Linked DNA regions of Arabidopsis thaliana. The protein of the gene in region 2 interacts with the protein of the main gene of each other region in a pairwise test. Each region holds a gene or a part of one and is shown on either strand. Other genes may lie near its edges.

Region 1 (14,213 bases), on a different chromosome or scaffold from region 2:
CGCCTCACACGACCCAGCAGGTTAACCGGGGTAGAGACGGTCAAAGTTTTGGGTGGCCACAAGAGAACCGTGATGGCTTTGGGCAGGAGTAAGAGTAGTCTAGTTTGAATTTGTGCAATGTTAAACTCGTCGTTTGAAAGTTTCAAGTACTTTTGTTTCTAAAAACTGTGTCGTTTGTTGTTGGTCTAACATGTAATTCGAGTAAACCCAATTTCAACCGAGCCAAAACCGTGCCAAAAATTCCATCGGAAAAACCAAACTGATTTGGGTTGAACCAAAGGTTTTACACCATTTTATAGGAACAACCATCGTAGATTGCACCCACTGTGTCACTGTGATAAAGAAAGAACTAAGATTGATATTTTGGTTTTTAGCTCTTTTTCTTTACTGTTTTGGGAGGATGATGATGATGGTTATTATATGAGTTGAGATTTTTTCTAAACACCGCCGATGATCTCACTAATCTTAGGCACAGCTATGCTTACAGACAATATTTCACAGTCTCTTTATTGGGATTCCTTCACTCTACATATGTATTCACTATTCAGCACCAAGTTCAAATTTCTGTAAGCATTTATTCTCTAGCATAAACACACACGAAAATATACTATTAGCTAGTTAAGTATAAAATTATCAAATAACTTATTCATATTTGTTAGTTTTAAACTAGAAATCATGTGAATTGAACTGAACCAGTTATTGATAAGTGTGTGGCTATGAGAAATTTCGTTTCAAATGGATTCTCCAATTATGAACCATAATGATACATAACAATATTTGCAAGACACCATTATTTCACATTATGAGAATAGAAGAAAACTGAGATCTAAGACACTTTTTCCCATGTTTTCTATGAATTATTACGATCCCCATATAAATTTTCAAAATGTAAAAGCTATAATCATTGTCGTAATTTTCATGATTAATCACACCAATCATTATGACCAACCAAAGAGAATGTAAATGTAGGATATAGTTCATTTTCTTTTCTTTTTTTTTTTTTACGACAAAATAAGGTCATTCATTTAAGCTAAAAGCGGGCGGTTTTCTTCTAGAGAAAACCAGTCCGGAGTAGAAAAGCTTACATGGGAAAAAATAGAACCTCGTGCTCTTGCCTTCTTAGCAAGACAATCAGCACAAACATTGTTTAAACGTGGAATAAAAGATAAAAAAAAACGAGGAAAGTTAGGCTTTAAAGAATAAAAATTTTTTAACTCAGAAGAAAAAGCGGGCCACTCATCAGGAGTGTCCAAAAGTTGCGTCAACTCCTTGCAATTAGTTTTTTTTTATCATAATTAGTTTTTTTTTTTTGGGTCTGCTACTTTTTCTCAATATAAGTTTATATTCTACACGTAATTTAAAGTTCCCTTTTCTAAGTATATACTCCTGTTTAGGAAAGACTAAAAAAGCTTATTTGATTGGTGAAAATATAAGTAAAAAGCCCACATTAATGGCATTGATTGCGTTGAGGTCAATTGATGGAAATAATCACGTCACGTAAAAAGTTCTCGACATAGATCTTTGATAACCAACAAAGACAAGAACGATAAATACCAGCGAATACAATTATGAAAATACGCCTAACACGTACGAAAATGTATGTATGCACACGCTTCAACAAAGATTTCATGCTTTGTTTGGTAAAAGTATACGAAAATATATATATATATATACAAAGTAAAGATAGTGTTCAAGATTTTTTTAATTTTGGGTAAATAATAAGATTGATTGGAAATGTTATAAGAAAAAGGAAAACAGGAGAGAATAGTGAATAGAGAGACCAAACAACAAATAAGATTTGATGGCGTGAATTGCTTTTTCTGCTTTTCTACTTTTGCTTGGCTCTTAGTTTTTAAATTTAAATACGACTTTAGGGTAATGGACAAAGCCTGAAAATTCACTTTTTGCTTCATAAAAAACAAAATTTGTCAAGGGTATTTTATTTCTTTCAGCTGAAATTAAGACGTAAATGGTGGTTTGCTTGTTTTTGTTGCAAAACGAATAGTATATCGTAGCGACAACCCCATGCAAATTGCAAAGTGATGCGAGTATTGACAACAAAAAGAAGAGAAGCTTAGCCAGTACAAATAAAGTTGTTCAGAAGAAAAACAAATTCGTATAAGCACACGTGTAGCTGGATATTCTCAGCATTTACATTAATCAATCAATATATACACTTCAATCTAATGTTTATATTAAGAAATTGATTGAGATTTGATAGTTTTTGTATGTTTTGATGGACAACAATGAAAAATTGTTGTCCCTCTAATCATTTTTTTTTTTTGGCTGTTCGTTTTTTTTGTTTTTCTCAAAGAACAGAAATATCAGAATGGCAGAGAGATCGATCAACCCATTAACCATAAAATCACAGCACTGTTTTTATTATATTAAAATTGTCAGACTCAATATTTAACCTTCTTTCTTAAAAACAAAAAATAGCGCAGATTTAATCTGACACCTGCAAAATATTTCATTAAATATTTTAAATTTCTTTAAATAATAAATAACTGTTTGTTATTTCTCTTCATCTCCTTTCTCTTTCAATGTCCGTTGGTAAAAGACGAAAGTTTCAGACATAACATCTCTTCCCATCTCTCTCCCCTCTAAGCAATTAAGCAGACAAGACACTGATGATATGAGACGAAGAGAAAGAAGTCTTATCACTCATCCTTTCCTCTTATGAATCTCTCCGCCGACCAAGCTCCCGTCACCGCCGTCGACGAACTAGCTCCGCCTTCTCAACCGCATCGCTTATCTACATCATGTGATCTCCACCCAGAAGAGCGTTTCTCCGGTTTCTGTCCTTCTTGTCTTTGCGACCGCCTCTCCGTCTTAGATCACAACGCCGCTCCGCCACCGTCTTCTTCTTCCCGGAAACCTCCCTCTATCTCCGCTGTTTCGTTAAAAGCTCTCTTCAAGCCCTCCTCTAGTGGTACCAACAACTCCAACGGAAACGGTCGGGTCAGACCCGGTTTCTTCCCGGAGCTCCGACGTACAAAGTCCTTTTCCGCAAAGAACAACGAAGGATTTTCCGGTGGGTTTGAGCCACAGCGTCGGTCTTGTGACGTCAGACTTCGTGACGACGAAAGAAACCTTCCCATCAATGAAGCTGCCTCCGTCGATAAAATCGAGGAGGAGGCTAGGGAGTCTAGCGTGAGTGAGATAGTTTTAGAGGTGACTGAAGAAGCTGAAATTGAGGAGGATGAAGAAAACGGTGAGAAAGATCCCGGCGAGATAGTTGAGGAAAAAAGCAGCGAAATTGGTGAGGAAGAAGAGGAATTGAAGCCAATGAAGGATTACATGGATCTCTACTCACAAACAAAGAAACCGTCGGTGAAAGATTTCGCCGGGAGTTTCTTTTCGGCGGCCTCTGTTTTCAGCAAGAAGCTTCAGAAATGGAAGCAGAAGCAGAAGGTGAAGAAGCCGAGAAACGGTGTCGGCGGAGGACGGCCACAGTCTGAAATCGGAGTAGGCCGGAGATCAAGCGACACCGACCCGAGATTCTCTCTTGACGCCGGGAGATTCTCCGTCGATATAGGTCGGATTTCAATGGACGATTCTCGCTACTCATTAGATGAGCCAAGAGCGTCGTGGGATGGACACTTAATCGGCAGGACAACGGCGGCTAGGGTTCCTCTGCCGCCATCGATGTTATCAGTTGTGGAAAATGCTCCGTTGAATCGATCAGACATGCAGATTCCATCGTCTCCGTCAATTAAACCGATTAGCGGTGACTCCGACCCGATTATCATAATCCCAGGCGGATCCAATCAAACTCGAGACTACTACACTGGACCTCCGTCGTCACGGAGACGGAAGAGCCTCGACAGATCCAATTCTATTAGAAAAATTGTAACGGAGCTAGAGGATGTCAAATCGGTATCAAATTCGACAACAACAATAGACTCAAATTCCATGGAAACAGCGGAGAACAAAGGGAATCAAAACGGCGATAAGAAATCGAGACGGTGGGGAAAATGGAGCATTTTAGGGTTTATATACAGAAAAGGTAAGGACGATGAAGAAGAAGATAGGTACAGCAGATCCAACAGCGCCGGAATGGTTGAGAGGTCTTTATCGGAATCATGGCCGGAGATGAGGAATGGAGAAGGAGGAGGACCGAAGATGAGGAGGAGTAACAGCAATGTGAGCTGGCGAAGCTCCGGTGGAGGATCGGCGAGGAATAAGAGTTCGAGGTATTCGTCCAAAGATGGAGAGAACGGAATGTTGAGGTTTTATTTGACTCCGATGAGGAGAAGCTGGAAGACCAGCGGTGGTAGTGGTGGAGGCGGAGGCGGTGGTGGTGGTGGTGGGTGGGAGAAGACGGCGGCTAAGGCGAATAGTCACGGCCACTCTATAGCGAGGAGGGTTATGAGGCTGTATTGACCAAAGTGTCCCTCTTCATTTTAATTATTGGGAGCAATGTGAGGTTTTGGTTTGGGGTTCTCTAATTATCTTTGTGAATAAATTGGATATCTACTTAACCGGAGTTAATCGGACCAAATTGGAACCGGGTCGTTTTCAAAAACCTAAACTTATAAACACTCGGAGTTTTGAGTTATGCTCTCTCTCACTCACTCCGCCGCCGTCCCTGCTTCCACCACATCCTCCGATTTATGATTGGATGGGATCATCGAGCTGATTCGATTGCAAGAATGCAAGTAAGAACAAGAGACTGATTGAGAATTGTAAAAACCGGAAATTTGGGTGATGCTTTGAAAGTGTTTGACGAAATGTCTAAGAGAGAAGAACAACTTGAGGTATGGAACAACTGAATTAGTCAAGGCTGGATAATGACTAAGGTAACATCTTTATAGTCTCTGGCTAGCTTTTGTTCTCTCTGTTTCTCGTACTTTGCATCAAAAATCAAACCGCATTAGTATCATCTTCTCTTAACTTCACCAACTAGCTAAGTCTGAGTTCCAGGCCTTTCTCTGTGTCTGCATTACCAAGCTTGCATAGAGATTGAATCTTTAAGTAGCTTAAACAAACATAACAAATGGTTTTTGAAGTGAGCAGCATAAGCACACACATCGGTCTTGGTGGTTTGAGTAAACATCACTGAGATTTGTTGTTTTACGATGCAATAGCAAATGTAAAAGTAGCTTGACGTATCAAGCCCAAGTGTTAAGTTTCAAACTTGGGTCTATTAATCAAGTTATATGATCTTTGTTGCTACCTTTTTCCCTTTATTTGCTTTTTTCATTCTCTATTCAAAATCAGCCAACCTTTGCTTGTATTTCCATTCTCCACTGTCTCTCTAATCTGATCAATCCTGCAGGTTCTTTGAAAGCTTGCATTCGAGTCTCAGAGCGTTTGATCACGGATTCATCACTACTATTCTAGTTGCAATCAAAGAAATGGTTTCACTAGCGGAATCTCAGCACAACGCTTGTGTTAAATACAAACCCTTGAACTCTGCAACCACAAAGCAATAAGGATAGTCGAATTCAAAAGTAGTATCTTGTAACCTAAACTCAAGCAAAGAACTTCAAACTTGCTTGTTTATGAAAAATAAAAATAATATCTGTAAATATGTTTCAGTAACGAGATTATCAAACATTGCGACTAATTTCAAATCAGAATTCGTGATTGCAGCCATCGTTATGTTTTTTGTATCATCAAAGCGCATGCCCGGTCGTTTTCTTGTAAGTGTACCATTTAGCAATCCAAAGGTAGACCAAGAAATTCAAGAAACTCAGACCAGCTAATAGCCAAAAGAAGTAATCAAGATGACCATTGTTGAGGTTCTTAGCGATCCAGCCTGGTCTTCCACCTGATCTCGTGACTTTAGTGACCAATGTCACCAGAAATGTGCTCAGATAGTTCCCAAATGCAATTGCGGTGAGCGACAAAGCCGAGCAGAGACTCCTCATAGCATCAGGAGCTTGGTCATAGAAGAACTCAAGCTGACCTATAAACGTGAAAACCTCGGCGCAACCCACCAAAAAATACTGCGGAACTTGCCAGAAAATCGTCATCGGGATAGTCTCTTCATTGTAAAGATTGTGTGTTTGAACGTAGTTTAACCTTGCGACCTCGAGGATTCCCGCAGAGACCATAGAAAAGATGGAGATTACAAGCCCGATTCCAATCCGTTGAAGCTGTGTGAATCCGCGTTCGTGACCTGTGTATTTCCGGGCGAAGGGAACAATTAGCTTGTCGTAGACAGGTGCCCAAAACAGGACACTAAGCGTATCGAATAAGGAGAGTGATGCGGAAGGGATTTTGAAGTTAGGTCCCATGTGTTGGTCCAGTGTGTTGCCTTGTAGTACAAACACAGTCCCCATTTGGCTATAAACCGAAGCGAAAACAATCCCTGTGGCCCAAATCGGTAAGAGACGGATCAGTGCTTTGAGCTCTTCTACTTGTGTCACTGTGCATAGCTTCCATGAAGACGACTTAGCTGCTCCTTTGTTGTCACTCTCTGTTTCCACTGCTGCCTTATCAAAGAACCTGAAATGATTTGAAGTGAGCCAAAAGTTAACCTAACAACACAAAATTACAGACCGGACTTGCTTGTGCCTTACGTTAATATTTTGGTGTGTTCGAGCTTGCGGCTTCCTATGATACTGCTTTCGGCGTCTTGGTTCTCGTAGAGAAGAGATTCATCTTCAGGAATTTTCACTTTAGATTTTCTGCATGAAGCCACAATGACTTGCAGCATTCTTGTGAGAGGACTTCCTCCTGGTTTCTGCAGCCTGTAGAAGTTGCTTCCGGCGAAGAAGAACACGACGGCTATAGCCATTGCGACGGTGGGAACACCTAAACCCCAACCCCAACCAACATTCATCTGAATCCAAACGAGAACAGAGGAAGCAATCATTGCACCAACGTTGATCACAAAGTAGAACCAGTTAAAGAAAGAGCTCTTAGACTCTTTCTCTTTTTCGTCTGTATCATCAAACTGATCAGCACCAAAGGAAGAGACACAAGGCTTGATCCCTCCAGTTCCGAGTGCGATCAAGTAAAGCGCTATGAATGTAATAGCGGTTTGACCCGCTGTTGCGTGACAGGTTTCTCCGCTGCAGGTTGGTGTTAGACCAGGAACCGAAGCTGATATCGTCAATAGCGTCATTCCCTAAATTACAGAAACAAAAAAAAAAAGAGCAAACAGTTTCAAGATTCTGTGATTTTCTTTGTTCACGTTGAGAGCAAACAGAGCAAAGAGTAAATTATTACGGCAATGTAGATGACGACAAAGGAAGCGATGGTCCAGTATCGACCGAGATAAGCATCGGCGATAAAAGCACCGATCAAAGGAGTAGCGTAACATGTTCCAGACCAGTTACTGACACTCTTAGAAGCAGAGACGTTTTCCATATTCATTTGTTTCTCGAGATAGTTGATGAGATTAGTACTCATTCCATAGTAAGCTAATCTTTCACAGCACTCAGTTCCTGCCAATTGCTCATAGATACAATCAAATCAAATTCAGAACAAAAAAAAACGATTTGGTTTTTATTACAACAAAAGATTAAAGGTTTGAACAATACCAAGAATGAATCTGCAAGCTTTCCAGGTTCCAGTTTTATTCTTGTTGGCTGGTTTCTTGTGAATGTCAAGAGTTCCATCTTTTGTGTATATATCCTTGTCATCTTCCATTGTTGTTTGGTTTCGACAAGTTTAAGTGTGACCCCTGAGTTTTCAACAATGTGAGAATTTTTGACCTGATTTACTGAGAAAAAGGACAAAAGATGACTTCTTTGCCAAGTAAAATCTACACAACGATATTTCTACGACTAATTATCGGATTTAGACAGATAAGCCTCCATATATATATATGTGTGACTCCACGAAGAAACAGAATTGAAAAACATCGATTTATTTTATGAGCAATAGCCAAAGTAATGTCCATTACATGCATCATGACAAAAACATAACGCGTTTTCTAGACACAAACTGACAAAATCGGAAGCCATACATACATATATAATTTCGTCGAAGAAAGCTACGGATCTGAAAACTCGAAAACACACAATCGCAAATTTCGTTTGAAAATGAAAATAAATCTAAGAACACTCCTCCCGAAAATGTGTGATTACTAGTAACAGAAATTGTTCATAGAATCAAAAAAAAGACAGATCAAAGATAACCAGATTTAATATTTAGAAACGGTTAATCGTTGGTGAAAGATTCGTTTACCTTTTCTCGGGGAAGCGACGACAGAGTTTTGTGCCGGGATTTGAACTACACGGCTGAGGAAGATAAACTTGAGGGCTTGAGCGTTTCGTTTTGCGCCGTGTGATAGATATTTATAAGGAAACACTCTGAATAGTGAAGGTGAATCAGGCAGTTTCGTGATTTTACCAGTTACGTCCTCGCATTTATTATCTTTCTCTTTGTTATTTTGTTGAATTTTGAATAACTTTCTTGAATCTTTGAGAAGATGTGGGGATGCTAAATCCTATTCATAGTAATGTATCATTAAAGATTGTGGTTGTGTAGGTTTGAATCCCTTTCATTTATATGTTAAAGAATCAAAAATTATAACAAAATTACCTAATTCCTAACAAAAAATTGAAATAGTTATGGAAACATATCTTTTTGTTTTTGATCAAAAGGAAACATATCTATAAACGGATAATCAATATTGTGAACAAAAAAAAAACGGATAATTAATACACCAAATAACTTATGGATTCTTTTTGTGATTGTGTCCAGATTCATGGAACGGTTACATGACACATCGATCATAGAATTGAAATTTATTTCAACGACTCAAGAGAATAGCAGATTGAGAATCTCTGTACAACTTTTCTATTTCTACAACTTCTAGTCAAAACAAACCTACCACACAAAAGAAGTGTTAAGTGGTAGAGAAAGATTAACTTTTTTAACCATAAACTCACAAGAGGTTAAACAAACCTACCACGCAAAAGAATTGTTAATATCCTGATTAGTAGAACTAATAAACTTGTTTGAAAACTTAATGCACACGCATTATCTGTGACCTATATATGGAATAAACAAAATGCGTAAACAAGTTGTAATAGATGTTAATATAACCACGAAAAAACAAAAAACAAAAGTTGAGAGACTATAGAACTATGAAAATAAGTTTAATAGTACTTAAGAAAAAAAATTGATATAATTTTCTGTTATGTTTTCTCAGATTGTTTTCTACGATTGATGCTGTGAAGAACTAACTTGTTTCTTATTGATTCATAATGAGGTTACATCACATATATATACATACTTGAGGAGGTTACATGTCTAATGGGCTAGGTTACAAAAGCCCATAACTACTTAAGTATATGACCGACCTAAGTATAGTCTCCATGGGCCGGACCTACGGGCCGGACTGACTGTGGCTTCTCTCCATGGACCGGGCCGACAGGCCGACGGGCCGATGGACCGATGGACTGATGGGCCGACTGGTCGATGGGCCGTCACACCAATGGGCTGACGGACCTATCCTCCAAAGACATGGGCCACGGTTATGGAGTCCATCCAACAAGTGGTTTACAACACTCCCCCTTGGATGACATAACCGTGTAGATGCCAACGGGATCTCAGTAATACGCTAGGGGAATGCTGCCTCATTAAAACCTTACTAGGAAAACCCTTTTCGGGACAAAACCATAGTGAGGAAAAAGAGTACAGCACGCATTACTCCCCCTGAATTGGTCATCTCTATAAGTCCTTAAGCCTCCGCATCCCAACCTGATGCGCGAGCTTCCTCAATGTCGTTGCTGGTAATGCCTTGGTGAATAGATCGGCTGAATTGTCGCTTGAACGTACTTGCACCACCTTAACTTCACCATCCTTCTGTAAGTCATGCGTGAAGAAGAACTTGGGCAGAATGTGCTTCGTCCGATCTCCCTTGATGTATCCTTCCTTGAGCTGAGCAATGCATGCCGCGTTGTCCTCGTATATGATGGTCGGCTCCTTGTCTTCGACCATTCCACAATCGGCTCGTATGTGTTGAGTCATTGACCTCAACCACACACACTCGCGGCTGGCCTCGTGCATTGCCAATATCTCCGCGTGGTTAGAGGAAGTGGCCGTGATGGTCTGCTTCATTGATCTCCAGGATATCGCGGTTCCACCATGAGTAAACACATAACCCGTTTGTGACTTTCCATTGTGCGGATCTGAAAGATATCCTGCATCAGCAAAACCAACTAAACCTTCTTTGTTATGGTTAGTATAATATAAACCAAAATCAATTGTCCCTTGTAGGTATCGAAGCAAATGCTTGATTCCTTCCCAGTGCCTCTTGGTCGGACAAGAACTGAATCTAGAGAGGAGGTTCACGGCAAAACATATGTCCGGTCTAGTGTGGCTAGACAGGTACATCAACGCTCCTATGGCACTGAGATATGGCATTTCAGGACCGAGAATTTCTTCATCGTCCTTCTTTGGACCGAATGGATCACTATCCAATCCTAGGCTCCTCACCTGCATTGGGCTGGTCAATGGGTGAGCCTTGTCCATATTAAATCTCTTGAGTATTGTCTCTGTATATGCCCTTTGATGCACAAGGATTCCTTTATCTACATACTCAAGCTGCAATCCCAAACAGAACTTTGTCTTGCCTAAGTCTTTCATTTCGAATTCTTTCTTTAGATATTCGACTGTTTGGGCGATTTCCCCAGAGATTCCCAGGATGTTCAAATCATCCACATATACTGCTATTATCACAAATCCTTTGCTAGCAAACTTCTTGATGAAGATGCATGGACTGATGGGGTCATTTTTATAGCCCTCTTTGACTAAGTACTCACTTAACCTATTGTACCACATGCGCCCACTTTGTTTCAGTCCATAAAGTGATCTGTTCAGCCTTATGCAGTATTGGTCTCGAGACCCATTTTTATCTTTTCCTTTGAGCTCAATACCCTCTGGTAATCTCATATATATCTCATTATCCAGTGGACCATATAGATATGCGGTTACAACATCCATTAACCGCAAGTCAAGGTTCTCTCTTATTGCCAGACTTATTAGATATCTAAAAGTCGTTGCATCCACCACAGGGGAGTATGTCTCTTCATAATCTACTCCCGGTCTTTGTGAGAATCCTTGTGCCACAAGCCGTGCCTTATGTCTCACGATTTCGTTTTTTTCATTTCTCTTCCTCACAAAGACCCACTTGTGTCCTACTGGCTTTATATTAGATGGTGTCCTCAATATTGGACCAAACACATCTCTTTTCTTTAATGAACCTAACTCCACATCAATGGCTTCTTTCCACTTAAGCCAATCTGACCTTTGAGTGCACTCTATTATAGACGTGGGTTCATGATCCTCATTTATCTCATATGCTACCTCATATGCAAATTTCTCGTCGACGTCGACTTCTTTTCGGTTCCATTTTATTCCAGACATGATGTAGTTTATTGAGATCTCATCATTATCAATTCCTTCAGGACCATGAGCTTCGGCGTCCCGAATCTCATTTGGTGGTTCCTTAGGACTTGCCGCGGCCATGTCTATGGTTTCCTTTACCTCGGTTCCCATTGCACCTTTCTTAGTCTTTCGAGGAATTTTATCTTTGGAACCTATTGGTCTACCACGTTTCTTCTGTGGGTTAGACTCGGTAGCAATTACATTGATTCCCTTCTGGATATCAATACGTACTGGTGCATTACAAGCTGGTATGTACGATTTCACAACTCTCTTTGGGTCAGCAAAGGAATCTGGCAACTCATTAGCTAGCTTTTGCAAATGTATAATTTTATGGACCTCTGAATCGCACATCAGAGTCCGAGGATCTTGCCAATTCAAGGATGTTTGATTCCATGCTATCTCTTTTATTTCTTTACCCAGCTTGTTCGTCTCACCACCTAACGCAGGGAACTCGGATTCACTGAAGTGACAATCCGCGTATCTAGCCTTAAATAGATCGCCCGTTGTCGGCTCTAGATACTTTATAATGGTGGGAGAATCAAATCCAACATATATTCCCATCCTCCTCTGAGGTCCCATCTTTGTTCTCTGTGGTGGAGCAATTGGTACATATACGGCACACCCGAATGTCCTTAGATGGGATATGTCTGGCTCATGACCCGTTAACAATTGGGATGGTGAATATTTGTGTTCACTAGATGGCCTGATACGAATAAGTTCCGATGCATGTAATACAGCATGTCCCCAAGCGGCTACTGGAAGCCTCGACCTCATAAGTAATGGTCGAGCTATCAATTGGATTCGTTTAATGAAGGATTCCGCTAATCCGTTCTGTGTATGTACATGTGCCACGGGATGTTCCACACTTACCCCCATGGACATACAGTAGTCATTAAACGCTTGGGACGTGAATTCACCGGCATTATCTAGACGTATAGTCTTAAGCGGAAAATCTGGAAAATGGGCTCTCAGACGTATGATCTGGGCCAGTAACCTAGCAAATGCTTGGTTCCTAGAGGACAACAGACAAACATGTGACCATCTTGTCGATGCGTCAATGAGGACCATGAAGTATCGAAACGTCCCACATGGTGGGTGTATTGGTCCACATATGTCCCCTTGTATCCTTTCCAGAAAGTTTATGGTCTCTTTATTGACCTTTGCCGGTGATGGCCTTATTATGAGTTTCCCTTGTGCACATGCAGCACACGTGAGCTTCTTTGGGATAACTCTCTTTTCTTTTAGGGTGTGCCCCTTTGAACTTATCATTAGCTTTCGCATCATGTTATGACCCGGATGGCCAAGCCGGTCATGCCACAAAGTGAACTCCTCTATGAACTCTTTGTTCATTGCCAAATTATCTTCGATCATGTTGATCTTAGTATGGTAAAGACCAGTGGACAATGCGGGTATAGTTTCTAGGACTCTCTTAAGTCCTTGGGCGATCTCTGTTATATGTAGGAATTCTCTATTCCCTTCACCCTTTGTTTCAACGTGGAAACCATTAAGACGTATGTCTTTGAAACTTAACAAGCTCCTCTTTGAGCTGGGTGAATACAAGGCATCACTTATTTCAAGATGTGTGCCGTTTGGTAAGAGTACATGGGCTTGGCCGTAGCCCTCAATGAGACTCGCTATACCCGCTATAGTGCTAATGTTGGCATTTCTCAATGTTAGATTTATAAAATATCTTTTGTCTCTTAATATAGTGTGGCTTGAGCCACTGTCCACTATGAGTATGTCCTTGTCCTCGGCCATTTCTAAATGTGGACAAGAACTATATCTTAGGCGATAAAGCAAACAATAATGAAGCAAAGCAATTCCATAAAAATAAATAAATCCAAGACATCGAGCAATAGAAATCAAACTACAAAGCAAAGCAAACAAATCAAATTTAAAATTAGATGTCTATTCTCCCAAGATGTCCGAAGTCTCATAATCCATTAGGTCATCTTTCTCGTGGTCGAAATCCCCTTCACCATCGAGATGAACCAAATTTGCTTCGGGTCCCTTTTGCTTTATCATCTCTTGATATGCCTCAATGAGGTGCTTAGAGGTTCTGCACGTCTTTGCCCAATGGTCGTCCATGCCACACCTATAGCACACGGACTTAGCCTTTCCTCGCGGTTTGTTAATACCACGGCCTCTACCCCTACCTCGGCCATAGTTCCCACGGCCTCTACCACCATAGTGGTTTCCTTGGCCGTAGAAATTGCCACGACCTCTTCCACCACGTCCTCTGCCACGGCCACGGCCGTGAGGGTTACCCCTATGGACGTAGTTGGATTCCTTGGTCGCCTGAGGTTCATTAGGCGCTTTGGCCATTTCGGCTCTATTGGCTTCGGGCACAGCTGTGGATCCGGGAGGTCTCAATGCGCTGTTCATGAGTAACTGCTCATTGTTCTTCTCAGCAAGAAGCAGGCAGGAGGCTAGACTTGTGTAAGTCGTAAACCCTTTCGCACGGTACTGTTGCTGAAGCAGTACGTTGTTCGCGTGAAAGGTCGAGAAAGTTTTCTCGAGCATGTCATTCTCAGTCACCTTCTCACCACACAGCCTCAGGATAGAGACAATCTTAAAAAGCTCGGAGTTATACTCCTCCACGGATTTATAATCCTGGATCCTGAGGTTAAGCCAATCATGTTGGGCTTTGGGTAGTTGTATGGTCCTTTGGTGGTCATATCGATTCTTCAACTCAAGCCAAAGCTCAAGTGGATCCTCGACTGTAAGGTACTGATTTTTCAAGCTCTCTGCTATATGATGGCGTATGATCGAGATCGCCTGATACTTTGACCTCTCCGTTTTCTCATTTCCTTCCACAATGCACTCGGCGAGTCCTTTAGACTTCAGCTCAATCTTGG
Region 2 (16,690 bases):
AAACCCATCAAGATGCGTAAATCTAGTTGCAACGTCCACCACATGTCTTATTTGGTGGAGCGTGGTTCACAAAAATGTTTGAAAGTTAACAAACGCGCGTCTAAATTATTATTATATACTATTCCAAAGACGCGTTCACATTTAACCCAATGTTAACCAACCAAATCTCAAGATGTGGAGATGCATTCACACATACAACAAGATATATATCTACTTAACTTATCTGAAATGCGTTCACATCACACGTATAGTAGTACCAAAGACTTGCCATGAATAAAGAAGATAAGATGTCTAGACAGATCAATTTGTAACCGTCATCATCTTCCATTTTTGCATGACGTCCAAAAGATCACTTGAACTTTTTTCATTTCGTGGTGAAGATTCCATTGGACAACGTGTGACTATATTTTTGGCTCATCACTTTTTTGTAGTGCGATCATCTACCATCTTGCAACATAGATTCTCTTATAATTGGCAAAATCCATTAAACCGATAACAAAATATCATAATGTCACACACACTAGTGATTCCTCGTGAACCCATCCATATTCTTTGCTTGACCGCTTCCATAAACAATCCACCCCGAAGCTTTTACATCGTGATGTCTTTGTAAATTTAGGAAAACACAGACACAGTTGGTCAATGATAATCATTACAGATTCTAAAAGAATTTGGTAGCCACTAGTCAAAGAACTTAAAAGGCAAGATTTATCGGGACATTAGGACAAGGTAAATGAATGCATTATAAGAAAATAAAAAAACCCTTTAACATTTTGTTTAATAGAAAAGAAGTAGAGGTTGATTAGTTATTGTTAAAGTAAAATGTGTTGGGCTTGTCTTTTCCTCAAATGTCGCGAAGCTCAATGGTATAAGCGAAAGAGAAAGCATAGCATGATGGGCCATATATAAATAAAAACTCGAGTATGCTACAAAAACAAGGTTTCAATGCACTCATATCTCGTTTAACATTTTCTAATTTTATTCTTTTCATGTGTCCCCCATTGGCTTGGCAATAAAGTTGAATTTGTATTGATTTATATCTCATTCTCAGTACGAGCTAAAATTCTTAATTAAAATGAAAAATATGCTATAAACAATTTAAATGATTGCAAGTCTCACCTTGAACAACATCAGTTAATATTTTTCCGTAGCATGTTGCATATAGCATAATTTTGGTCTTAAGTAACACCACCACCTCACACGTACGTACGACCAATTATGCATGTCTCAAATCCCTCCATGATTTCTATATGGAAGACCAAGGTTTCAAGATTAGCAATTTTAACGGATTAAAACCGGTTCAAGATTTTATTTTTTATTTATTTTTGCTAAATCCTACAATTTGGTCTCATGACAAAAAAAATATAAAAACATAGAAACAAATAACAATGAATCTATCGACATCAACAAAAGCAATTAAACTTTCCGAATCAATGAAGCGATAACCGGTAGTATCTTCGAGACTTCATATACGATCAAAATGCTAAAGTAACTATTCATAATCTTTTATTAATAATGAATTATCAAAGCTTCTATAATTCATACGACAAAGACAAAGGAATAGCAACAAGTTATGTTCATTTCGCTGTCGTTTAATTCAACAATGAAACGTTAACGAAACGATTTTGTCGAGATTTTTAAACGTCTTTTTCAGGTTCTACGGCTAAAATTCCTAACATTTCATCACCTGTCGTTATCGTTAATATCGTCCTTGTCAGCAGAAAAAAATTGAAATCAGGATAAGTTGATAACTTCTATGAAAAAAACATTATCTTACAAAAATCCAAATACTCCGACTTAACCGGGTCGGATCCTGGTGAGTACTAGTATCTATCTCATTACAATTCATATCCTTCCTTCAACATTCGATCATCACGAAGCCAAAGAACAATTTCTCCGTCACTATCATAACCATGGCGGTGCTTTCATCTGCAGATCGAGGTTCGTTTTCGTACCCATACTCTTCCTTTTTCACGGTATACTTGTTTCGTCTTCCTCATCGTTTGATGCAGCTATTTTGCTCGCTCGTTCGATCTTTTTTTTTTTGTCGTTTTGGATGATTTATGTGTCGATCATTTCGATCAAACAGGTGATTGTGTTGATTAGGTCAATGAGATTTTGTTTTGCGTGTTAGTTTACCGTAATTTGACGCAGATGGTGAATTTTTCGCAGACTGTTTCATTTGCAGATGATGATGCTAGGGATCATGATTGTTGAAACTTATGGAATCTGTTGTATATAGGAATTAGAAACGAGATTATGCATTGCGTTTTGGTTTTGAGTGTTGAGAATATTGATTATGAAATAAGAATTGTGTTTTGGTCTTGCAGCTAGTAATGAGAAGAAGGTGAAGAGTTCATACTTTGATTTGCCACCTATGGAAATGTCTGTAGCATTTCCTCAAGCAACTCCAGCCTCTACATTTCCACCTTGTAGTAAGGATTTCTTCTTCCAGAGGATTTATATTTTGATGATTTATTGTGTTTCTCTGTCTCATTTGTGGATATACTGTTTACAGCTTCAGACTATTATCATTTCAATGATCTACTGACTCCGGAAGAACAAGCTATCCGGAAGAAAGTGAGGGAATGCATGGAGAAAGAAGTTGCTCCAATAATGACAGAGGTAGATCTTCATGTTCGACGTGTTTTGTTTTTTCTTTGTTTGCTTTGATTGTATAGTTAGCGTTATCTCATTGTTCTTCCTTTGGGTTTTACTCAGTACTGGGAGAAAGCAGAATTTCCATTCCATATCACTCCAAAGCTTGGGGCTATGGGTGTTGCTGGTGGCTCGATCAAGGTAATTTGCAATGCCTGTCTCTGGGTTTTTGTTTGTTTGATTATGTGGATAGAAGCTTCAGTATTGATTTGGTTTGACTTCTTAGGGTTATGGATGTCCTGGTCTCTCCATCACCGCCAATGCAATTGCCACAGCAGAAATAGCTAGAGTTGATGCAAGTTGTTCGACTTTCATTTTGGTGCATTCTTCTTTGGGCATGCTCACTATTGGTAAGAGCACCTAATATTTATTTCTAAGCTTGTTTAATATTTAGTTGTCCTAGTAAAGATCATTCTAGGATTTGCATAAGTTTATTTCCTTTGATTTTGTCAAGAATAGCACTCTGTGGATCAGAAGCACAGAAGGAGAAGTATTTGCCTTCTTTGGCTCAATTGAATACTGTGGCTTGTTGGGTGAGTACGTGGATCTTGGAATTAGATGATTTGCATCCCTTGAATAGTGTTTTATTGTGTTATACAAACATCCTGTTGATACCATTACCTATATTGGACTTCTATAAAGGCTTTGACAGAGCCCGACAATGGAAGCGATGCAAGTGGTCTAGGAACGACTGCAACAAAGGTGGGGCTGCCTTCTCTCCTAGTATTCAGTTACTTGTATCTATCTTTCTATACTTATGCAAGTACAGTAATGTTTCATTGTTTTGACTGGTTTACTGTATCAGGTTGAAGGAGGTTGGAAAATTAATGGACAAAAGCGTTGGATTGGAAACAGCACCTTTGCAGATCTGTTGATCATCTTTGCGAGGAATACAACAACTAACCAAATCAACGGGTAAGTCAGATTATTGGCTTTCTTAGATCTCTCAGATTTTGTATCTTAGGTGTAGAGGTCGTTCCCAGAAAACTGAAGGTAATGAGGTGGCTCTTGATTTCATCTTATGGTAGTGCTGTAAAAATCCATTTTCATAAAGAATGCTAAATAGGTTGCTACGCAATTGAATGTTCTGAACAATAAATTTGGTAAGGACCGTTATCAAGTGCATACTGGACTAATGTCTGGCTCCTCATTCATCTTATATAGACTATATTTCCTGCATTAGAAACTTATCAGCAACCCTCTTTCAGATTCATAGTCAAGAAAGATGCGCCTGGCCTAAAGGCTACTAAGATCCCAAATAAAATAGGTTTACGTATGGTTCAAAATGGAGATATTCTACTACAGAATGTCTTTGTTCCAGATGAGGATCGGTTACCTGGGGTAAATTCTTTTCAGGACACCAGCAAGGTACTGTTGTGATAATTCTACTACATAACCCCAAAATGCTCTAAAATACTTTATCACCAGAAAAACGTCACATCTTCCTCTTTTCTTTGTTATAATTAAATGTTTGTCTACACTTGAATAGGTTCTGGCTGTCTCACGTGTAATGGTGGCCTGGCAACCAATCGGCATATCAATGGGAATCTACGATATGTGCCACAGGTATTTCCGGGAAACCGCCAGATCTCTGTAATCCTAGTATGAGCTTTCATTTCGTTACTTACAGTTTTCCATTAATATGTATTGTTTCAAGGTATCTGAAGGAGAGGAAACAGTTTGGAGCACCGTTGGCTGCTTTCCAGTTAAACCAACAGAAGCTTGTGCAGATGCTGGGTAACGTTCAAGCGATGTTTCTAATGGGTTGGCGTCTCTGCAAGCTGTATGAGACGGGTCAGATGACTCCAGGTCAAGCCAGTTTAGGAAAGGTATTATAACAAGAAATCCTTTTTCAAAATAGAGAAACATGTTGTCTGATTACATAGTCAGTACGCTAGCCGAAATAAGTAGGGGTAAGATATTTAAACAACGATAGGTGCTCATGAGTTATGAACCATTTGGTAGAAGACCTGTCATATTTTCTATGAGATGCATCACTTGATTCCTTGAATAGAATGTGTAGCAACATACAATAAAGGTGTTTGTGTATAGAGATTAGGGAAAGTTGTGAATGTATCTGTATTGCGCTTAGAGACCAGTCACGTCTCCTGGTATTCGTGTATAGTCGTAATCGTATGCGAAAATATTGTATCGAAATGCAGGAAGTTCATGCTTATTATACTATCGAAATGCAGAAAATATTGTATTGAGACAAGATACATTTTGCTTGTGATCTATTCTACTAATCAAACATAGCTCAGTAAACATTGAATAATATCGTTTGCATAACCAATTATGTGTTTCCACTAGGCATGGATTTCATCAAAAGCGAGAGAAACTGCTTCGCTAGGTCGGGAATTACTTGGTGGGAATGGAATTCTAGCAGATTTTCTGGTAGCAAAGGTGAGCAAATCTTCATATTTGACTTGGTTGTTGGCTATTATTGAAGAAAGATCATGGTTAAGTCATGAATTTGGAAAATTTGCAGGCTTTCTGTGACCTTGAACCCATTTATACATACGAAGGGACTTATGATATAAACACCTTAGTAACAGGGAGGGAAGTAACGGGTATTGCGAGTTTCAAACCGGCTACACGTAGCCGTCTCTAAGTTAAAAGGTTGTCCATTGTTTGTTGTTGTCTGTTGGTTAGTATTGATATTGTGATGTGGGGTTTACATCTACAAATGTGCCAAATAATCTGACCCAAAAAGATTTAGGGTCCAATGGGGGAATAATATCGTTGTTGCAAAACTTAATCCAGTTATTGCTTCTTGCAATATGGATTCGTCTTGTGGCTTGTACTGGGGGAAATACCATTTGTTAACCTTTTATTAATTCAAATTGCCAATGTCAATAACTTTTGGTGAATGTCAAAGTGTCAATTAAGTTGTGTTTCTTTGTTTACACTGACCAGAGTTCGGTTTTTGGACGGTTGGTTTTCTATTTCGCAAGAATTTACCAACCTGTAACAAAAAAAAATGTTTTGGAAGAAATCTTCTTATATTATTTTGGGTTATAAAACTGATTGCATTGAATAAAGAAGTTCAGTAATATAGACTTTTAGTTCGATTTTTGGTTTGTGCGGACGTTGAACGAGAAAGCAAAGAGGGACAGTGGGTGTGGGTTTTGGGAAGAATGTGAGACGCAAATAATCTCAATTCAAATGGAATCAAATTAGATGGCAAAGACGAGGCCTTGAAGTCAAGTGCCTTCCATTGGCTTTGATCATCGCCACAACTCCTGCAGTCACTCCAGCCCACAAAGCCGACGCCAGATACTGCTGCGTGTTTCTTCCCGCTGTTTTTTCCACCCAACACACACACACATACACAAACAAATCAATCAAAATACAATCATGTAATGTATAATCATATGAATTACAAGCCTTTACCTTGATGAATTGTGAAAGATGTCACTGTTACACCACCTATCAACAATGCTGATGCTACCGGCAGAAACTGTTTTATTTTCACCACAACAAACAAAATCCAGTCAGCATCTTCTGTTTGACCAAATTGTTTAATTATATGGTCTCCATCGTTTCAAATGCAATTTCTAAGTTTGTTACCATTTGCAGTTTTCCAGTAAAGTGCAAATGCAAATGCAAATGCAAACGCCATTTTCATTTGGCGTTTACGTTTGCAATTAACTAATGAAACATTTTAGTATGTTTAAGGTAGTGGGTTCATTTGACAAAAAAAATTATTAAGTAAACGAAAACATATAATGCAAACACACAATCTTAAGCGGTTAGGAGGAACATACAGACGGTTGTGATCCAATGGGCTGGAGTTGTGAAGGGCTGTGTGTGCCCACTGTGTAGCGACCACTTATGAGGTCCAAAGCATCCTGAAAAATAAAATTTTGTTTTCTCTACCTTCAGTTTCTCATCTTCATACCTCACCTCTAATTTGCTGATTCAATTATAATTGCAGAAGAAACTTGCCTGCCTTACACCATCTTGGAAATTATTCAGATAATATCTCGACATTGCACTGAGGCCATCTTTGATAGCTCCAGTCATAGTCTGTTTCCCGTACCTGCACCAAAATACCCCATAGCGTATATTGCTAATATGTAAATATTATCATTTACATGGTCTTTCTAAACTATTGTATTGATTCAAGCTGAGGCCTATACCAATTCAGAGAAAACTGCATCCAAGGTAAACAGAGAACTCAAGCTTGTTATTACAGGTTATCAGTCTAGTAATATGGCAAGTGTATTCATGTCTGAGAGAACAGCATGGAAACTTCTAACAATGTTGATGTATGGTTAAAAGAAGTCATCATCACTATCACAAGACTGTAACTCTGTAAGCCAACTGTAATCAATATGATCTTAAGAAGGATCACAGACAGAGATTACTCACCTTACGAGGTCGCCCTTAAGAGCATATGTCCCGGCATATTGCAAACTAACCTCGTCCCCTTGCTCAGCCCAAACTAGTAGTGAACCCAAAGGATTAAATTTTTGAGGTACGCCAGAAGATATTCTACAGCTATATAACTGGAACCTGCGCTGAAATTTTGAAAATGGTGACAACCACTTACTTGTTCTGAACTTTGTGTAATCATCTTCGAACGTGGATATACACTCTGTGGAATCGCACACTCCGATCCTTTGAAGTTGTAGATTCAGACTTTTTTGGCCCATGAAACTCTTTTCATATGATACAACAAAAAAAATATTGACTGCAATCAGAAGCAGTTCAATGAAAAGTACAAGTTTTCAACCATCTAACAAGCTTGTATGGCTCTACAGCAAGTAGATTTTAGCCGTTATGTGCAACCAGAGACAATATTTCATGAAGTTAAATATGTAAACAATGATTTTTTATCGCAAACAATTTAGTAAATGCACAACCAAGATCCCAAAAACTCAAATGACACAAATGGAGGGGATTTACCAACGGTGCTTTACATGTCCCACCTAATCACCCATGAGTTGTATAGAACATACCGTACCAATCAAGATGCCTACTAGAAATGAAAATGAAAGAGAGTAAGAAATAATTCAACAAACCTGGGTAACATTTGTGCGGTCAAGACAGTCGATGCAGTTAGATCTGATAACTCCTTTCTGCTCTTCTAGGATGTTCTCGTCTGCGTCTACAAGGAAATATCTGCTCAGCCTGGATTAGTCGCAGGTGAAATAAAATTCTCTATATAGCAGCGCTAGCTAAATTAAACCAAACGAACAACCTCTGACTGCTAACCATATCAACTCAGTTTCTAGATCTGAAATGAGTAGAACCAAAACCGTAATTCTTACCCTTGCTTTTCAAATTCATCCCCAATCTGCTCATACAGTACCCCCAGGTTGTCGAAGTTTGTAGTTCCACAGACTTGATGGAAGTCAAAGGAGACATATCTGAGTCATAAACTATCATTAATTTGATGTGTACGATCGAGGAACAATTTGAATCAAGAGAAGGTAAAAGATATCCAAACAAACGACAAAATGTTCAAGTGTCACGAAATAGCAAAAATTCACAGTGTACGCTAAGAGGTATCCCGAACGATAACCAAATACAGAAATGATAAGACTGACGGGTAGAAGGTAAATGCGTCGATGTGCATACAGATTTTTACCTCACATCAGGAAGCTTCTCCATCTCGGTGGCATATGCTTTGCTTAATGCACCTTCATCTCCATGCTAATAAGTCACGTGTGAGAGACAAAGTTAATCATACAATGAAAGTAAGTAAGTGAAAATTCCAGAGCAGAAACTGTACTAGAGGTGGAGTTCAGATGTCATAGATTTCAAAGTGCACATATGTTTAGTGCCATTTAATTTTGTTTTCAGGAATGGGGAACAAAGAAATTAACCTGATCTGTTAGGTCAACTGCCATAATTTCTCCATATCTTTGGCAAAGATCATGGAAATGGCGCTGTACAACTTTTGGCTGGAGGCAGAAATTTAGCTTATTAAGATTGAGTGCTGGACATCATATAATTAATCTAGTAAGAAAATCATAAAAAGGTACCGTCTCTTCATGCTTATTTATCTTAAGCCGTGGCTTATAACTCAAATCAACGATCTGCTCCCAAAGAAGTGGGATTGAACCTCGAACCTAGTCAGTGAAAGCAAGACAGTTACAATCGCAAGAAATGAAAGGGAACCTTAAACACAGAGAAAGAGAAAAGCAAGGTATAATAAACTAAGTTGAGAGATGAAGAACCCAAATAATGAAACAGTGCATTTTCAAGCATATCAAATTTTTAAAAAAACAGTGTAACCATTCAGCTGAAATGAGTTACATAGGATATTAGTTTTCCAGGGCTATGAAAGAAACCCCACACAGCATTTCATATCATCAATAAATATAATTCCACAGCTACTGCAAATAAACCAGTATCGAAGCATGAAACTATCATTTTAAGAAGACACTGCACATGAATGAGATCCTAACAAGGATATACCTGCAATAATGAGAACTTGAAACCATTAATCTCCACTATTTGTTCAGATTCGACAAAATTAGCAGCGTCCCCTTCAAGATTGGCTCCTCTTCTCCACATACGTGTACCTGGGATGCCAATTCCAATAAGACTGTCAAACAAACATGGATGCCACTGAATTTTCTGGCAGAACTAATTAAACCCTACCTAGACGTCGTGTACAGCGCCTGGACATTATCGATACCACAGCAGGAGAATTCTTGAGCTTTAGCTCAGCAACTTGGTAACTTAAGCCTTGGTTAATATCAAACAACATGTATTGGAGTACTGTCTATTAAAAAGCATATTTGAAAAACGCAACATTACATCTATAAACAGTCCAAGAACAAGCTAAACAGAAGATTAAGAAGATAAAGAAAAGGATATTTCCTTGAAGTATAGGAATAATAAAACCATCCAGCTGCCACAATAAGAGAAGGTTAGATCATTAACGTTTGACAAGGAATGAAAATCAATTAAATTTAAACCACACAACTTACTTTGCATTCAATTAAGTCCTCCAAAAGATGCCAGTTCCAAACATATCGAGGGTCAGCCTGACAAGCAAATAAACCTTCAGCCTAACTTTAACGCGATGAACTTAAATTCAGACACTGGATCCAAAGAAGATACTTTTTTTAAAGATAAAAAATCATACGAATAAACAACCTGCTTCCACATAGGCTTACGATTCCAACCTTCAGCTAGCTTGCACCTTCTTTGAAGACTGTAAAATTGGATGAATGTATCTAACTCAAGCCGCGGAACTACTTAAAACTCTTAATATCATGAGATAGTGAAACTTACTTCAATGTTAGATCTGTTTCATACGAAAAATACAATCCAGGGGTTGTCTCAAGTGCTTGTAACAGAGTCCTAAAATATGTTTCGTCCTTTTTCTGCAAAAGCCAGTGACCAAGTTCTTTAGACAACTTAACTTGTTCATAAACTCCAAAACCCCTACAAAATCGTATATCGATTGAAATTCACAATAACCTTACTTCTTGAGCAGTAGCAAACCTCAAAGCCTCATTGCAAGGTAAGAATTTCATAGCCGTAACTCTAAAAATCGGTAAACCGAGAAAATTTCCAACTTCCTCCCGAGACGTTATAACTAGCAAGTATGTTCCTATATATGAATGAAATCGAAACCAGCATATAAAAATCACTGTTGGATCCCAACACAGTACATAGAGAAATGTTGAAAAACATTTTCCACCTGCTAAGAGCCTAATAGTTCCTCCTACGCCATAGATAGTAGAGACTCTAGTAGGACTCCCAGAAGATGCGTTTTCTGCAGTAACAAAGAAACAGTAACATCAAATACACTACAACAGCCTAATACTCTTGCTTCATATCATCTCTTGCCAAATTTTGTCTTGAAACCAAAACAGGGAAGGGAGAGAGCTGAGAATGAAGAGTGGATTACCATCAAGAGGTTTGATATTGCCATCGCGCCGATTGACGGAGAAGCCTTCCTCAGGCGATTCGATGGGTTTGACGACGTACTTGTCAGGAAACTCCAGAAGCTCGAATTGATCGTAGAGCTTGAATCTACTTGTAGATGGAGCAATCTCCATTAACGTAAATTATGAGATTTCAAATAAATTTTTCAAAATAGGAAAAATAATTTGAAGGATGATGATGATGATGATGCTGTTGGAGTTTGTTCAATTAAGAACTGGATCAGGAGAAACAAAAAAAAATGTCAATGATTGTTCATTATTTTTCTTCAAAGTTGACTGTTGCCACGTGTCTCTCAACCGGATACTAGTGGGCTTCTTTGGGCCTGAAATTTAAACTGTGCCCAATAGTCTTTCGTCCGGACAAATTGTTACAGTAGTTAAATCAAAGGCCACCAAAACTGTTACGTAGACATTTAAAGCGAATCTCCATCACCTACCGACTCTTCCTTGATTTGATTGTTCCACATGTAGTAAAAATAGAGACTTGAAGGTAATTTTGCCTTGAGGGAACATGAAGAGACTGAAGGTTGATATTTTTATTAGAAAGTTAAAAAAATTATTTCAGTTAATATTATATTTATAGGATATATATTAAAAGATATATCACGGGCTTATATTTTTATCAAATACATGAATTTTTTGTTTTTAAGATATCAACTACAACTAGATGTATCATAATCCCCTTGTTAGATTTATTATTCTTTTTGTCTTAATATCTTATAATAGTTAATAGTCATTAATAAAGAAGTAATAGCTTTCATTGAAGTGAGTCTACTCTAAATAGGATTTCCACAGTAGGAAAACTAGACATCAGGAAATCTATTCAATCAAGACGACTTATGTAGTAGAGTAATCCCCGAAGGTATTGAGCAACTATAGATATATGTTATTGATTATTTAATGTATGATACAATTCGGGATGATTTTATAATTAAAAGATTTGAAATTTGAAATTATATTTATTTTGTTAATATTGTTAGTTTTGGTTAGCTTTTAAAATTGTGTATTTGTATTTTTATTGTTAAATTTTATGATTTCACCCGGTATATATCATCCCATATTAATATTAGATTTATTTTTTGGGCTTTATTTGGGTTTTCGATTTAAACTGGGCCCATTCTGCTTCAATGAAACCCTAATGGGTTTTGTTTGGGCTTTGGATTTAAACCGGGCCCATTCTGCTTCAATGAAGGTCCTTTGTCCAACAAAACTAACATCCGACACAACTAGTATTGCCAAGAGGATCGTGCCACATGGCAGTTATTGAATCAAAGGCCGCCAAAACTGTAACGTAGACATTACTTATCTCCGGTAACGGACAACCACTCGTTTCCCGAAACAGCAACTCACAGACTCACACCACTCCAGTCTCCGGCTTAACTACCACCAGAGACGATTCTCTCTTCCGTCGGTTCTATGACTTCGATTCTCAACACTGTCTCCACCATCCACTCTTCCAGAGTTACCTCCGTCGATCGAGTCGGAGTCCTCTCTCTTCGGAATTCGGATTCCGTTGAGTTCACTCGCCGGCGTTCTGGTTTCTCGACGTTGATCTACGAATCACCCGGTAGTTAGCATTCTGTTGGATAGATTGATGAATGTTTTCTTCGATTTTTTTTTTACTGATCTTGTTGTGGATCTCTCGTAGGGCGGAGATTTGTTGTGCGTGCGGCGGAGACTGATACTGATAAAGGTATGATTTTTTAGTTGTTTTTATTTTCTCTCTCTTCAAAATTCTCTTTTCAAACACTGTGGCGTTTGAATTTCCGACGGCAGTTAAATCTCAGACACCTGACAAGGCACCAGCCGGTGGTTCAAGCATTAACCAGCTTCTCGGTATCAAAGGAGCATCTCAAGAAACTGTAATTTTGTTCATCTCCTCAGAATCTTTTAAATTATCATATTTGTGGATAATGATGTGTTAGTTTAGGAATTTTCCTACTAAAGGTAATCTCTTTTGAGGACAAGTCTTGTTTTTAGCTTAGAAATGATGTGAAAATGTTGTTTGTTAGCTAAAAAGAGTTTGTTGTTATATTCTGTATTCAGAATAAATGGAAGATTCGTCTTCAGCTTACAAAACCAGTCACTTGGCCTCCACTGGTTTGGGGAGTCGTCTGTGGTGCTGCTGCTTCAGGTAATCATACGAACCTCTTTTGGATCATGCAATACTGTACAGAAAGTTTTTTCATTTTCCTTCCAATTGTTTCTTCTGGCAGGGAACTTTCATTGGACCCCAGAGGATGTTGCTAAGTCGATTCTTTGCATGATGATGTCTGGTCCTTGTCTTACTGGCTATACACAGGTCTGGTTTTACACAACAAAAAGCTGACTTGTTCTTATTCTAGTGCATTTGCTTGGTGCTACAATAACCTAGACTTGTCGATTTCCAGACAATCAACGACTGGTATGATAGAGATATCGACGCAATTAATGAGCCATATCGTCCAATTCCATCTGGAGCAATATCAGAGCCAGAGGTAACTGAGACAGAACATTGTGAGCTTTTATCTCTTTTGTGATTCTGATTTCTCCTTACTCCTTAAAATGCAGGTTATTACACAAGTCTGGGTGCTATTATTGGGAGGTCTTGGTATTGCTGGAATATTAGATGTGTGGGTAAGTTGGCCCTTCTGACATTAACTAGTACAGTTAAAGGGCACATCAGATTTGCTAAAATCTTCCCTTATCAGGCAGGGCATACCACTCCCACTGTCTTCTATCTTGCTTTGGGAGGATCATTGCTATCTTATATATACTCTGCTCCACCTCTTAAGGTAAGTTTTATTCCTAACTTCCACTCTCTAGTGATAAGACACTCCATCCAAGTTTTGGAGTTTTGAATATCGATATCTGAACTGATCTCATTGCAGCTAAAACAAAATGGATGGGTTGGAAATTTTGCACTTGGAGCAAGCTATATTAGTTTGCCATGGTAAGATATCTCGTGTATCAATAATATATGGCGTTGTTCTCATCTCATTGATTTGTTTCTTGCTCACTTGACTGATAGGTGGGCTGGCCAAGCATTGTTTGGCACTCTTACGCCAGATGTTGTTGTTCTAACACTCTTGTACAGCATAGCTGGGGTACTCTTTTGGCAAACCTTTTATGTTGCTTTTTTCGTTATCTGTTGTAATATGCTCTTGCTTCATGTTGTACCTTTGTGATAATGCAGTTAGGAATAGCCATTGTTAACGACTTCAAAAGTGTTGAAGGAGATAGAGCATTAGGACTTCAGTCTCTCCCAGTAGCTTTTGGCACCGAAACTGCAAAATGGATATGCGTTGGTGCTATAGACATTACTCAGCTTTCTGTTGCCGGTATGTACTATCCACTGTTTTTGTGCAGCTGTGGCTTCTATTTCTTTTCCTTGATCTTATCAACTGGATATTCACCAATGGTAAAGCACAAATTAATGAAGCTGAATCAACAAAGGCAAAACATAAAAGTACATTCTAATGAAATGAGCTAATGAAGAGGAGGCATCTACTTTTATGTTTCATTAGTGTGATTGATGGATTTTCATTTCATGCTTCTAAAACAAGTATTTTCAACAGTGTCATGAAATAACAGAACTTATATCTTCATTTGTACTTTTACTAGTGGATGAGTTACACAATCATTGTTATAGAACCAAATCAAAGGTAGAGATCATCATTAGTATATGTCTATTTTGGTTGCAGGATATCTATTAGCATCTGGGAAACCTTATTATGCGTTGGCGTTGGTTGCTTTGATCATTCCTCAGATTGTGTTCCAGGTAAAGACGTTAACAGTCTCACATTATAATTAATCAAATTCTTGTCACTCGTCTGATTGCTACACTCGCTTCTATAAACTGCAGTTTAAATACTTTCTCAAGGACCCTGTCAAATACGACGTCAAGTACCAGGTAAGTCAACTTAGTACACATGTTTGTGTTCTTTTGAAATATCTTTGAGAGGTCTCTTAATCAGAAGTTGCTTGAAACACTCATCTTGATTACAGGCAAGCGCGCAGCCATTCTTGGTGCTCGGAATATTTGTAACGGCATTAGCATCGCAACACTGAAAAAGGCGTATTTTGATGGGGTTTTGTCGAAAGCAGAGGTGTTGACACATCAAATGTGGGCAAGTGATGGCATCAACTAGTTTAAAAGATTTTGTAAAATGTATGTACCGTTATTACTAGAAACAACTCCTGTTGTATCAATTTAGCAAAACGGCTGAGAAATTGTAATTGATGTTACCGTATTTGCGCTCCATTTTTGCATTTCCTGCTCATATCGAGGATTGGGGTTTATGTTAGTTCTGTCACTTCTCTGCTTTCAGAATGTTTTTGTTTTCTGTAGTGGATTTTAACTATTTTCATCACTTTTTGTATTGATTCTAAACATGTATCCACATAAAAACAGTAATATACAAAAATGATACTTCCTCAAACTTTTTATAATCTAAATCTAACAACTAGCTAGTAACCCAACTAACTTCATACAATTAATTTGAGAAACTACAAAGACTAGACTATACATATGTTATTTAACAACTTGAAACTGTGTTATTACTACCTGATTTTTTTCTATTCTACAGCCATTTGATATGCTGCAATCTTAACATATCAAGTCTCACGTTGTTGGACACAACATACTATCACAAGTAAGACACGAAGTAAAACCAACCGGCAACCGCATTACATAACATAACCGCATACCATTTGAACGGTACAACACTGCCGTTAGTACAAGCCATACATAGTTATATCACACACATATAAAACACAAAAAACCTAAACGCGCTACATTAGACCCTAGTTAAAATCCACGCTGCCAAACACGGAACCTACAAGCAGGTTACTTATTAGATGATATATAACAGACTGTTGCAGCGGACACTAGTAGCTCGTAACTACTATCACTTGTTGGTGAACTTTGACTCATCGATCTCAATCCCTTCTTCCTCCGCACGCTCTCCACCAGATTTTTCCATCGTACTGAGTCCTCCTTTACGTCCCATCTCCTTATAACCCTCGTGCCCTAGCTGCTCCTTCCTCGCCTCTCCTCCTTTGTGTCCCATCTCCTGATAACCCTCGTGCCCTAGCTGCTCCTTCCTCGCCTCTCCACCTTTGTGACCCATCTCCTGATAACCCTCGTGCCCTAACTGCTCCTTCCTCGCCTCTCCACCTTTGTGACCGATCTCCTGATAACCTTCATGTCCTAGCTGCTCCTTCCTCGTCTGCCCTCCCTTGCTCCTTCCTAACAAGTGTACATACATGCATTCCATGAAACATGGAGATCATAGAGTAAACTTTAGGTTCGTAATAAGTAGATTAATCTTATCTTAAGATATTAAGATCTAATGTTTCTAGCCTTATAAAACCATTACTTACGAACTAAAGAAAATAAAAAGAGTGTGGAAAAGTTGTAATTTACGGCAATACCTTCAGCAAGATGCTCTTGAGCTTCGAGGCTGTGGCCACCGGTGCCACCTGGGACGACGGTCTCTCCTTGCTTCGCCTTCTCATCAAGCTCTTCTCTGCTCAGTTGCTTTGACGCCATTTTTTGAAGAAAAAAACACGAACGATATGTAATTAAGTAAGTTGCTTTTAATTTGGATCTATGTTCCGACACAGATACGGACGACGTAATTATTCCTATAAATAGAAACGTTTGTGTTCCAAAGGAAACAAAAGGAGAGAAAAAGTGAAGTGCTACGTGGAAGAGAAGACGCGGCGAGACTAGAAATAATGGGCTTTACGGAGATGACACGTTGATGCTTACTCAGTCAACTTGCTACAGTTATTAACGAGCTGCTTGACACGACTCCGATTAATCTTAATCCATTTTCTGTTTCCCCCAAGAAATCAAGATAATTACCCACATTTGGGATTTTTTATAAAACTGTTTTCCGTGTTAGGTCTTTTCAATATCAGTTAGATAGTACTATTATTTATCTATTTGAAATCTAAGTGCAATATTTCGGATAAATATGTTTTAAAGTTAAAAGTTTTATATTTATTCACATCATAAGAAAAATATAGGTGTTATTAGAAGAAGAGATTTATAAATCGATCACACATAATAACTGGGAAGAGAAGGTAGCTTCGAGGATTAGTTGGTTTACTTGTCGACAAAGTCATATCTA

Evidence for each region.
Region 1: the proteins of SAC8 (region 2) and PTR5 interact in a protein complementation assay, tested with the Arabidopsis thaliana proteins (one large-scale study listed by BioGRID).

What each region holds. Positions count from the first base shown.
Region 1 is NC_003076.8:55,636-69,848, forward strand, and holds PTR5 (peptide transporter 5), read right to left. Parts: upstream 8,302-14,213; 5' UTR 8,146-8,301; intron 7,679-8,145; exon of another isoform or gene 7,640-7,678; 5' UTR 7,606-7,639; coding exon 7,497-7,605; intron 7,401-7,496; coding exon 7,183-7,400; intron 7,082-7,182; coding exon 6,531-7,081; intron 6,457-6,530; coding exon 5,622-6,456; 3' UTR 5,382-5,621; downstream 1-5,381. Other genes in the region: AT5G01160 (RING/U-box superfamily protein), read left to right, coding at 1-92; AT5G01170 (hypothetical protein (DUF740)), read left to right, coding at 2,680-4,386. UniProt on the Arabidopsis thaliana protein: Peptide transporter. Mediates the transport of di- and tripeptides. High affinity transporter. Involved in the uptake of peptides during pollen germination and tube growth.
Region 2 is NC_003074.8:19,214,232-19,230,921, reverse strand, and holds SAC8 (SAC domain-containing protein 8), read right to left. Parts: upstream 10,802-16,690; 5' UTR 10,686-10,801; coding exon 10,535-10,685; intron 10,400-10,534; coding exon 10,325-10,399; intron 10,235-10,324; coding exon 10,107-10,234; intron 10,005-10,106; coding exon 9,913-10,004; intron 9,833-9,912; coding exon 9,775-9,832; intron 9,663-9,774; coding exon 9,606-9,662; intron 9,527-9,605; coding exon 9,493-9,526; coding exon of another isoform or gene 9,401-9,492; exon of another isoform or gene 9,355-9,400; coding exon 9,274-9,354; intron 9,195-9,273; coding exon 9,088-9,194; intron 8,739-9,087; coding exon 8,652-8,738; intron 8,571-8,651; coding exon 8,493-8,570; intron 8,320-8,492; coding exon 8,255-8,319; intron 8,034-8,254; coding exon 7,935-8,033; intron 7,786-7,934; coding exon 7,686-7,785; intron 7,323-7,685; coding exon 7,214-7,322; intron 7,106-7,213; coding exon 7,033-7,105; intron 6,701-7,032; coding exon 6,607-6,700; intron 6,510-6,606; coding exon 6,426-6,509; intron 6,119-6,425; coding exon 6,052-6,118; and 4 more. Other genes in the region: ACX4 (acyl-CoA oxidase 4), read left to right, coding at 1,914-1,941, 2,331-2,435, 2,519-2,625, 2,722-2,799, 2,885-3,008, 3,118-3,191, 3,301-3,360, 3,464-3,573 and 5 more; G4 (UbiA prenyltransferase family protein), read left to right, coding at 11,988-12,138, 12,220-12,264, 12,348-12,433, 12,618-12,705, 12,788-12,873, 12,962-13,048, 13,122-13,187, 13,262-13,345 and 6 more; EM1 (Stress induced protein), read right to left, coding at 15,461-15,801, 15,987-16,104. UniProt on the Arabidopsis thaliana protein: Phosphoinositide phosphatase that hydrolyzes PtdIns(3)P and PtdIns(4)P.